Regions from separate parts of the Mus musculus genome. Here region 1 is reported to be linked to region 2. The links are microRNA targets in miRTarBase. Many come from high-throughput screens and were not tested one by one. Region 2 holds a microRNA gene; the other region holds the end of a gene's coding sequence.

Region 1 (5,000 bases), not on the chromosome of region 2:
CCCCCTCAGCAAACCACCAAGTGGAGGAGCAGCTGGAGTGGCTGAGCCAGCGCGCCAACGCCCTCCTGGCCAACGGCATGGATCTCAAAGACAACCAACTAGTGGTGCCAGCCGATGGGTTGTACCTTGTCTACTCCCAGGTTCTCTTCAAGGGACAAGGCTGCCCCGACTACGTGCTCCTCACCCACACCGTCAGCCGATTTGCTATCTCATACCAGGAGAAAGTCAACCTCCTCTCTGCCGTCAAGAGCCCCTGCCCCAAGGACACCCCTGAGGGGGCTGAGCTCAAACCCTGGTATGAGCCCATATACCTGGGAGGAGTCTTCCAGCTGGAGAAGGGGGACCAACTCAGCGCTGAGGTCAATCTGCCCAAGTACTTAGACTTTGCGGAGTCCGGGCAGGTCTACTTTGGAGTCATTGCTCTGTGAAGGGAATGGGTGTTCATCCATTCTCTACCCAGCCCCCACTCTGACCCCTTTACTCTGACCCCTTTATTGTCTACTCCTCAGAGCCCCCAGTCTGTATCCTTCTAACTTAGAAAGGGGATTATGGCTCAGGGTCCAACTCTGTGCTCAGAGCTTTCAACAACTACTCAGAAACACAAGATGCTGGGACAGTGACCTGGACTGTGGGCCTCTCATGCACCACCATCAAGGACTCAAATGGGCTTTCCGAATTCACTGGAGCCTCGAATGTCCATTCCTGAGTTCTGCAAAGGGAGAGTGGTCAGGTTGCCTCTGTCTCAGAATGAGGCTGGATAAGATCTCAGGCCTTCCTACCTTCAGACCTTTCCAGATTCTTCCCTGAGGTGCAATGCACAGCCTTCCTCACAGAGCCAGCCCCCCTCTATTTATATTTGCACTTATTATTTATTATTTATTTATTATTTATTTATTTGCTTATGAATGTATTTATTTGGAAGGCCGGGGTGTCCTGGAGGACCCAGTGTGGGAAGCTGTCTTCAGACAGACATGTTTTCTGTGAAAACGGAGCTGAGCTGTCCCCACCTGGCCTCTCTACCTTGTTGCCTCCTCTTTTGCTTATGTTTAAAACAAAATATTTATCTAACCCAATTGTCTTAATAACGCTGATTTGGTGACCAGGCTGTCGCTACATCACTGAACCTCTGCTCCCCACGGGAGCCGTGACTGTAATCGCCCTACGGGTCATTGAGAGAAATAAAGATCGCTTGGAAAAGAAATGTGATTTCTGTCTTGGGATGAAGTCTGCATCCATCTCTTTGCGGAGGCCTAAAGTCTCTGGGTCCAGATCTCAGTCTTTATACCCCTGGGCCATTAAGACCCCCAAGACCCCCGTGGAACAAAAGGCAGCCAACATCCCTACCTCTCCCCCGGAAACAGGAGCCTAACCCTAATTACCTTTGCCCTGGGGCATGGGAATTTCCCACTCTGGGAATTCCAATACCTGCTGGGAAAGTACTGCAGTTCTTTCCGGCTGTTGTGGCTCCCATGGAGCTGGGGAGGAGCCACATTCTCAGGCACCTGAATCACAGCCAAGGAAGAGCCGCAGAGCTTCAGGTGTCTAACTGCGCACCCTGCACCATTCAACCTGCCTCTGAACAGACAGAGCGGGCATGGTCCACGGAGAGGAGACCTAAGCTCTATCCCTGCTCCATGCTGGGCTGGGCTCAGCCAGCTCTGCCTTTCGGTCACCAGCCCCTTTATTTTTCCAAACCTCTGAAGATGAGTGAAATAGTTTTTAAAAAGACACAGGGCTGAAAATGTGACTCTGTGGAGCATGTTGGGGTGAGGGTGGATGCTCAGTGTATGGGATACCCTGAATTCAAAACCCAAAGCAACACAACAAAGAAGGAGCCATTGCTGGCTTTGGTTTTCCAGTGTTTCAGACAAATGATGAATGTATTGAGGTGGGTGGATTGGAAAGAGAAAAACACCTTGTTTAAATGCTTTGTTGTTGTTGTTGGTTTTTAAATTACTTAATCACATATGCAGGCTTGGATTTGATCCCAACACCAATAATAATAATAATAATAATAATAATAATAATAATTTATTGTTGTTGTTATTCAATAGTACTTGCTGAAGCAGGCAAGGCCGACTTTATTCAGAATTAGTTATTGGTGCAGAGACTTGTTGTAGAGTGTTCAATGAGAGCAAGTGGGTCTTAAGAGCCCCAGCAGGGTGGGCGTTAGGGGGATGGCAAATGACTAAGAGGAAAGAAAAATCCGGGGTAGGGGGACTTTGTCTAAACAGATCAGACAAGACGCCTGTTGAGACAGGCCAGGTGAGCAGACATCACCTCAGGGGCTGCACGGGATGACTGAGGGTGATCCAGTCTAGGAGAGGGAGCTTGCTAAACCGACTGAATGGGGCTTTTCACGAAAACTAGGTTTTACAAGGAAGGCAATGACTAGGTATAGAAGATTCTGAAGCCTGACTAGACTTTAGCCAAAATTGGTCACCCTCTCACCCCACTGGAAGGCTCTGTGCAGAAGGTCCAAAGCACATAAGGAGTGGGTGTGTAGCCATGCTTTTAATCCCAACACTTCGGAGGTAGGGGCAGGTAAATTGTTGAGGGCTTCAAGGTCAGTGGGAGAAGGAAGAGGAGAGAGAGGAAGAGAAGGAAGAAGAGGAGGAAGAGGAGGGGGAGGAGGGGGAGGAGGAGGAGAAAAAGGGAAAGAAGGAAGAAAGAACAGAGAAAAGAAGAGGAAAGGAAGGGAAGGGAAGGGAAAGGAGAGGAGAGGAGAGGAGAGGAGAGGAGAGGAGAGGAGAGAAGAGAAGAGAAGAGAAGAGAAGAGAAGAGAAGAGAAGAGAAGAGAAGAGAAGAGAAGAGAAGAGAAGAGAAGAGAAGAGAAGAGAAGAGGCTGGAGAGATGGCTCAGTGGTTAAGAGCACCAACTGCTCTTCCAAAGGTCCTGAGTTCAAATCCCAGGAACCACATTGTGGCTCACAACTATCCGTAACAAGTCTTCTGACTCCCTCTTCTGGAGTGTCTGAAGACAGCTACAGTGTACTTGCATATAATAAATAAATAAATCTTTTAAAAAAGAGAAGAGAAGAGAAGAGAAGAGAAGAGAAGAGAAGAGAAGAGAAGAGAAGAGAAGAGAAGAGAAGAGAAGAGAAAATGAAACCCCAGTGGGCTCTTTGTTGGTTGGGCCTTCCTGCACCCGTGTAGAGAGGGAAAAACCAACCACGTGGTATGCTGGGGTGGGGTGGGGGGTAGGGGTGACCCACTGGGGTGACCTAGATAGTGCCTGGGTCCCCCTCTGCCTCCTCCAGCCATGGCGTGGGGGGGGGGGGGCTGCTGTTACTCATCGTAGGGGCCTCCCACTTGCCCAACTTTGTGTGAACCAAAGGTGAAGACATTCCATTTCTAGAAAGGACCCCAGGGCATCGGCTTCCTCCTGGAACTCCTCCTCCTCGGACACAATCCCCTCCCCCACCCCACCCCTGCCATTTTCAGCTCCTTTGCTTTCTTCATTAGTCTGCCCCTTAACGTGCCTGCGACTGACCTGCTGCCCCTTAAAGAAGGGCTGTCAGAACCCGTGGTGGTCCATGCCTTTAGCCCCAGCCCTGGAGAGTTCCAGGTGACCCAGGACTATATATGAGACCCGGACTATAGATAGATAGATAGATAGATAGATAGATAGATAGATAGATAGATAGATAGATAGATAGATAGATAGATAGAGCATACATCCATCCATACATACATTACATACATACTACATACATATAACCTATCAGGCCCAACTGAACTGATGGGCCCAACCCACGGAGCTTTGTTCCACAGTCTTTGTAGTTTTTCTCTCTGGGAACGAATCCTGCCTACCTTCTCCTGTTGGCTCCTCCTCACAGAGGCAGAAGCCAGGAGCAAGGGTGTATGTGAGGGGGTCTTGTGGGGACCAGGTCTTTGCTACTTTGTGGATTCTTTCTCCCACCCTTTCTCGCCCTGGTTTCACCCCCTAACACTAGATAGGATAGAAATAAGGATTAGGAAAATCCGTGAGTCTAATATCTTTCCTTTCGTTTCTTCTTTGACCGACCCGCAGCTGCTAACAAACCTCAACCAACCTCCCTAACCTTTCAGCATCCTGGCAATCAGGGTGCTGGCAGAAGTCTCAGGGTTTAATTGTCCCTTCTTCCGCCCTCTTGGAGCCCTGGCCTTAGAGCCAGGACGTGGGTGCAACAGGTGTCCACAGTTCAAAGCTGGGTCAGCCACACCTGCACGTGTCCCAGAATCAAAAACCACGTCTGCATTTCCGTGAAGACACTGGCAAGGGCCGGCATAGTTTACATTCTTTATTTTCAAAATTCGTGTCCTACATTCCGTTCTCCCCCCCCCCCGCCACGCCCCCGGCCGCTCGGGACTGTCGGGGTCCCGGACATCACGATTCACACATTCGCACCGTCAGTCGATCCTCCAGGAATGAATACAGATGGCTGTCACCCCACCATCACCGCCCCGAAGAAGGTCTTCCCTCTCCTGTAGTCCACCATGTCGGGGTGACTGATGTTAACGTAGACCCTCTCGCCGCTCCGGAGCTGCGCCAGGCCGCCGAACCCCACGCTCGTGTACCATAACGACCCGTACCCGATGGGGTCCACAACAGGTGTGACTGTCTCCGCGCCCTCCAGCAGCAACTCGGGGGAACCTCGCCCGTAGGCGCCCCCCGCGCGGTACAGGGCGCTGCGCAGCGTGAGCGAGCGAGCACGGCTTCGGCCGGCAGGGGGCGTCCTGCCCCTGTACCCGACGTGGCAGTAGAGGTAATAGACGCCGTCCTGTGGCAGCGCCAGCCCGTGGGTGGGGGAGAACTGCGCGCCGCTCCTCAGAAACGCTTCTTCTTGGCTCGCCTCCCAGCTGAGCCCTTGCCCACTCATCCAAGCGCCTGCAGAAAGGGACACGCGTGAGCGCTCGGGCCGTGATCTCTAGGTCGGAGACCCGGGCAGGATGAGCAGGGACCTGGAGCGGAGGAGCGGGGTCTTCCTCCTTCTGTGGTACTTAGCGGGGAGGGGCAGG
Region 2 (5,516 bases):
AGTTAGGCAATTGCCATGGCAACAAAACATCTAAGCTGTCTGTCCCTGGGCCTCCCTTCACCCCAACTGAGTAGGGCCTAGCCTGGCATAGAGAGGATAGAAGTCACCAAGAAGGTCCTGGTATCTGCAGCTTGCCTCTCTCAGCATATGAGCAGACAGGGAAGGAGGCTCCTGTGTTCATCTCTACCCTATGTCTCCTGGGTTCCCTCCATTTCCTTCTCCCCGGCTCAGTCTTGCTTCTTGGGAAAAGGTATTTTTCTTGGAAACAGTGAGACTTGGTTGATCCCTATCTCCCAAGGCCTAAGTCCTGTGGGCTTCAGGATGGCACTGTGTCACTATGTCGCTGTGTGAGTTGCTTATTGCTCCAAGCTCAGCCTTAGTAATTCAGAAGGCCTCATTCTTATTGACCTGTTTGTAGAGTCTGCAGCGCAGAGGCCTAGGCCTTGGGGGACTACGTGTTCATTTAATTCACTTCAACTTCATGGCAACTAGAGAGAAGCCTAGCTGCAGCCGAGCTCCCAACTTGCCGAGGGCCACCTCGCTGAGGAGTAGGAGTCAAGCCCGCTTCTGACTGAGGGGGTAGCTGGTGTCCAGAGCCTATTTTCCAACCCTGGCGGGCACTGAAAAGCCTTTTGAAGGGGGTCCAAGATGATACTTAGGCTGAGCTGAGTTTAGGCCATCAGAGACCTCGGTGCAGCAGAGCTGTGAGGGAGATAGCCGCTGGGGCTGAGGGCATAGGTTTGGGATGAGCTGGCTGGGAGCTATAGGAAGGCACATAGGAGCACACTTAACAAGCACTGAGGGCCACATGTGAGGTGTCTACTTGGAGGAGTGGCTCGTGGCTCCTAGCTGCCCTTGCAGGGGCTCTGGTACACTCAGGAGTCAAGTGGTTCTTCATGTGAGCAGAAGCTGAGGGGTGACTGGGGCTGATGGAGGTCTGAGCTACCCTCGAATGAGGATTTGGGGCAATGTTCACCGAAACGGTCAAGTCAGAGAGGCTTTCTCTGGGGCCTCTGACAGTGTAAGCAAGAGGCACCCTCCCTCGTACTTGTGGGATCTTCAGCTCTTTTGCAACTCAGCCTGTAGCTAGGGATGGGTCTTTGTAGTCTGCTGGACAGATAAGACAGACATCCACCCCAAGTGAAGATACAGAGCATCCTCTCTCCTTGCAGCTGAGAGCTGGACTGAGTGCTACACAGTTTTGAAGGAACAACTCTAGAGTGTCCTTGAAGATGATGGGGCCCGCTTACAGTAGCTTCTCTCGCAGCACCTCTAAAGTCACCAGCTCACCTTCTTGGCAGCCTGGAGAGCTACGTGTACCTCCTGGCATTTCTCTGTTTTCTGAGTGATGGGAAAGGGGCTTATATGGCCAACACTTGGAGCCACATCTCTAGCCGCCAAGTCAGATGTATTGGGAACAACTGCACAGAGGGGAGAGGACTCCGCAAAGGGCTCACACTAAAACTGTGCTCTTCCTCTGGGGGGAGGACTTCAGAGGGAGTACAAAGTACCTCAGCCCCTCACAGCTTGGTGGTGATGCACCCCTTTTCTGAGAGCCACTTAGCGCAGGATTCCTGTGACCCTTCTGTGCTGAGCAGCTCTTGGGCCTGACACCATCCCCAGCTGTCCCAGCCTTGTTACCTATGGGTGCCTGGGTTGGTTGTCCATGTTGATGGTTGGGATCAAGGGTGGGTGGGTGTCCATCAGATGTGTCTTTCTGTGATGGGCCTCACTGTTCTTCTGTTTGCTTCTGCCTCCCACTGTTGCTCTACTGCACCCGTGGGAGCATGATGGCTCTGCTCCGTCTCTCTTCTCTGCTCAACCAAAGAGTTTCAGAAAAGAGAAAGGAAGCCTTTTCTGAAGTCTCTAGACTTGATTTCTTGTCCTCAGTGCTTGCCCTGGCTGAGGGCCCCGTACAAGTGAACTCTGGGAAGATGATTTGTCTAGGGTCATGGACAAAGGCCTTAGAAGATGACTTCCAAGCCTATTTCGTTAACGACCTGCATTCATTAGAAAAGGACCTGTGTTTTCAAAAACATGGCTCTTGTGTCTCACATGGTCAGACAGTAGCCAAAAGATTGCCCATAAATATGTCTTCTGATGGCTGTTTGGCTACTAGGACAGAACCATTAAGTTGAAGAGCTTAAAACTATGACCTTAGCGGCTGTGTGTCTGTTTTGTTTATGTCTTAACATTCCCTACCCCATCTCTCTGTTCTAAGCACCTCTGAGCTCTCAGCACAGTCCTGCCTTTGAAGCCTTGTGTGATGGGGAGCCTCAAGGATTGGAGCCTGCACTTCTTCAGCTGCTTCTGCTGTGAGCACAACATTCAGTCCTGAGGAAAAGGTTTGCTAAGTAGGAGAACTTGGGGGTTCTTCCTCCTCAGGTATGGATTGATTTTTCACCTCACAGAGACCCAGTCAGCACCCATGGGGTGGGGCATTTGAGTTGGGAGGTGGGTCTTGCTGGAGCAGAGGCCCAGCAAGGTGGATCCTTCTTGGAGCGTGGGAATCTACAGGGCTGCTTAGAAATGGTTTGATTGGTTCATAATGGCACCTTGATAGAACAAGAGGGTTTACTGTACAGGATACTTGCCACACCATGGCCCTCTTTGTGCTACTACATGCAAGTGAGTGAGTCCATTGGATGGAGTGGTCATAGACAGATCTGGCCATGAGATGAGTGTCTCTGGACCCCCACTAACTAGCTCCTGCCCAATTGACTGCTTCCTGAGCACCACAGCTATTTGAGGTAGGCTGGGACGTTCCTGCCGTGCTTGAAAGAGACACCAAGAGGCATAAGAGGCCCAGGCCTTTGGCAGAGGAGGGCTGTTCTTCCCTTGAGTTTTATGACTGGGAGGAACTAGCCTTCTCTCAGCTTAGGAGTGGGCCAACAGCTTCCTTCCGATCTCCAGGAGAATGTTGCTGGTTGACACACGGAACTCATCCTCTAAGTTCCCCCACCCATCAAGGTAGCTGGTGGAGTCAGAGATAGATGTTTCTAAAAGCCATGGAGAACTTTGAGGTCTTGTCATAATGCCCTGAGCCTACTACTAAGACTGCCACCTTCCCATTGTCGATGCAGTGGCTTCTGAGCGCACGTAGCTGGGAAGCGGGTGAGCGGGCCAAGATCCAGGTTAGTGGGCATTCGAGACTACAGAAAGAGACCCTCCTAGGGTCTTGGGGTTGGGGAGACAGAGGCAGGGCCCCTAAGAGGGGATCTCCATCTGTGTGCACACAGAACAGCCTATGTGGAAGGTGACAAGAGGGCCTTTCTGGAGGGCCCCCCCTCAATCCTGTTGTGCTCGCTTCAGAGGGTTGGGTGGAGGCTCTCCTGAAGGTGTCCGCAGAGCGTCGCATGGTAAGTAGTCCCTTGGGGCTCTAGAGAATGCTTGCTGTCTTTGGCTTGATCCCAGTGGCAGCCTCTGCTAGACTAGTCCTGCCCCCCAGTTAGTGCTCATGGGGTACCAGAGACCTGACCCCACCCTGTCTGCTCTAGGCTAATAGTGCCCTGCTTCCCTGGGCTTGTACCACCTTGTGTAGTATCTCCCTACTCTTCTGTATCCTTGGCTGGGAAACTTGCTTCCTAGCACCAGACCTTCCTTGATGTGGTTGTTTGCTTTCCTTTCACTTATCTTTTCTTTCCTACAGGAGTGGGATGGACATCAGTCAGATCCACACCGGTCTTCATGGCAGCCCCCCTTTTTTATTTATTTATTTATTTATTTTTGAGACAAGATCTCACTGAATTATCCATACTGGCCTTAAAACTTGGAATCCTTATGCCTTAGACTCCAGCATTTCTGGCATAAACTGCTGTGTCCAGTCTAGAAGGCATTTTGGTGAACCACCCCTGTAAGACTGAGCTGGGGGGGGAGGGTGTCAGGCACCCAGTTTTGAGTTACTCACACCCAGCCTCTCCCAAGTGTGACACAGTATCTGCCTAATAAATTCACGAAGAAAGATTGTTTGGTGTTGTTCTCATCTGTGCTCTGCGCTCTACCCAGCTCTGCCTGGTGTGCCCATCACTCATCCCACTTCACCAGCTTGCTTCTAGCACACACCTGGCTTGATCTTGCTTCTTAGTGTCTCTTCCCATTAATTAGATTTAACTCAACTGCAAGAGGGCTGGAGCACCTTTCATTTAGAGTACAGTAAACTCTGAATAGAGGGAGGGCGGGAGGGAGGGAGGGAGGGATGGGGGGTAGGAGGGGGAACAGATGAGTGTGTGGATAGATGCGCGGGTAGGTGGGTGGATGGATGGATAGAGAGACATTGAAGAAGATTCAAACCAATAGTGCAGGTTAAGCACTAAACAGGGAGTGAAGGCTGTGAAGCCCAAATGGGAGGCTGTGTATCAGCCGTCTCGTGAGCAGAAGCTAGAGTAAAACCCTCAGATATGAATTCTATAAACTTCAGTTCTCTTCCTTTGGGAAGCCCCAACAAGCTACTCACTCACCAGCCATAGGCCGCTGTCCTCAGGCCTGCTGTTTCTGCTTTTCCAACACTCCTCTGCACTGAGCCTCCTTCTTAGTGTTACCTGCCACTCATCTTCCCACCCTCTTCCTTGTCTGTAGCCATTGTCTTGACAAAGAGGTAAGACTCTCCTGGCTGTGTTACTAGTGGGAGAGAATGGTTGGCATCAAGAACTGCAAAAATCACCACATGTGTCAGGAGAGACTCTGGGAGAAAACATAATTGGATAAGGGGCAGCTGCTCTCTGAGCAAGGATCCCCTGGGGTCCTTAGCTCTAGTCATGTGTACCCTTGGCCTGGCCACTGGTCTCATGAGGCTGGACTGAGATTCTGGGGGCCTCTTGAGCACGAAAGGAAGTGAATTCCCATGGCTTGTATTCACTAGATTCCAGAAGCCACTACCCCCATCCTGTCACAGCAGAAGCTTTTTAGACCTTGTCCCAGATCATACTGGGGACAAATGACTGACTCTACTGGGAGATCATGGTGTCTGTTAGCTGCACTGATTTTTTTACCTAACTTAATTACAAATTAATTCAAAGGAAACAAAATACATATAGCATGTGGGTTGTCACCTGTCTTCAACTCTGTCTAACTATCCTGCTGCCTGGGACAGTTAAGTATGAGAACCTGTGGCCTAGCAAAGGTTCCAGTGGTATAAGGAAGTCTCCCTTCATTCACAGACAGACAGACAAAGTAGGTAGGACTCACCAGGCATGCACACGCATGGCCATGTCTCTCCCTGTTCTACCTAGACTTTGGTGCAAAGACCATTTACTAACTAAGGGATCCAACTTCTGAGGAAGGAAATGGGTGGTTCTTAGTACTACTGGATGAACCTGGAGCATGGATGTGCTGTTGTAGAGCTCAGAGTGACCTAAGTTTGATGGTAAGTGCTACCAAGAGTCAAAACTGAGCAGTTGAACCAATTGTTGTCCAGGATTATAACCCAGCATTTAAATGTCTGAAACTCGCTGAGAGGTTCTGCTCCCTGCCTTCCATCCGTAGAACCCATGCAAGAAGAGAGCCGACTCCACAAAGTT

Evidence for each region. Region 2 holds the annotated microRNA mmu-miR-296-3p (GAGGGUUGGGUGGAGGCUCUCC, at 3,312-3,333, shown strand). A microRNA usually pairs through its seed, bases 2 to 8, with sites in the 3' UTR of a target mRNA and lowers its output. Matches are read on the target gene's strand: a 7mer-m8 pairs with bases 2 to 8, a 7mer-A1 pairs with bases 2 to 7 and ends in A, and an 8mer does both.
Region 1: the mRNA of Tnf is a reported target of mmu-miR-296-3p. The part of its 3' UTR that is shown has no 7-base or 8-base seed match.

Annotation. Positions count from the first base shown.
Region 1 is chr17:35,195,573-35,200,572 of GRCm38, reverse strand. Tnf (tumor necrosis factor) reads left to right here. Exons shown (of 4, transcript NM_013693.3): 4 at 10-1,206. The coding sequence ends at 428. It overlaps Ltb (lymphotoxin B), which reads right to left. Exons shown (of 3, transcript NM_008518.2): 3 at 4,268-4,869. The coding sequence ends at 4,427. Among named protein-coding and RNA genes, the nearest start is that of Mir6973a, 3.1 kb to the right of the region's middle.
Region 2 is chr2:174,264,875-174,270,390 of GRCm38, reverse strand. Mir296 (microRNA 296) reads left to right here and starts at 3,266; the gene lies at 3,266-3,344. Mir298 (microRNA 298) reads left to right here and starts at 2,806; the gene lies at 2,806-2,887.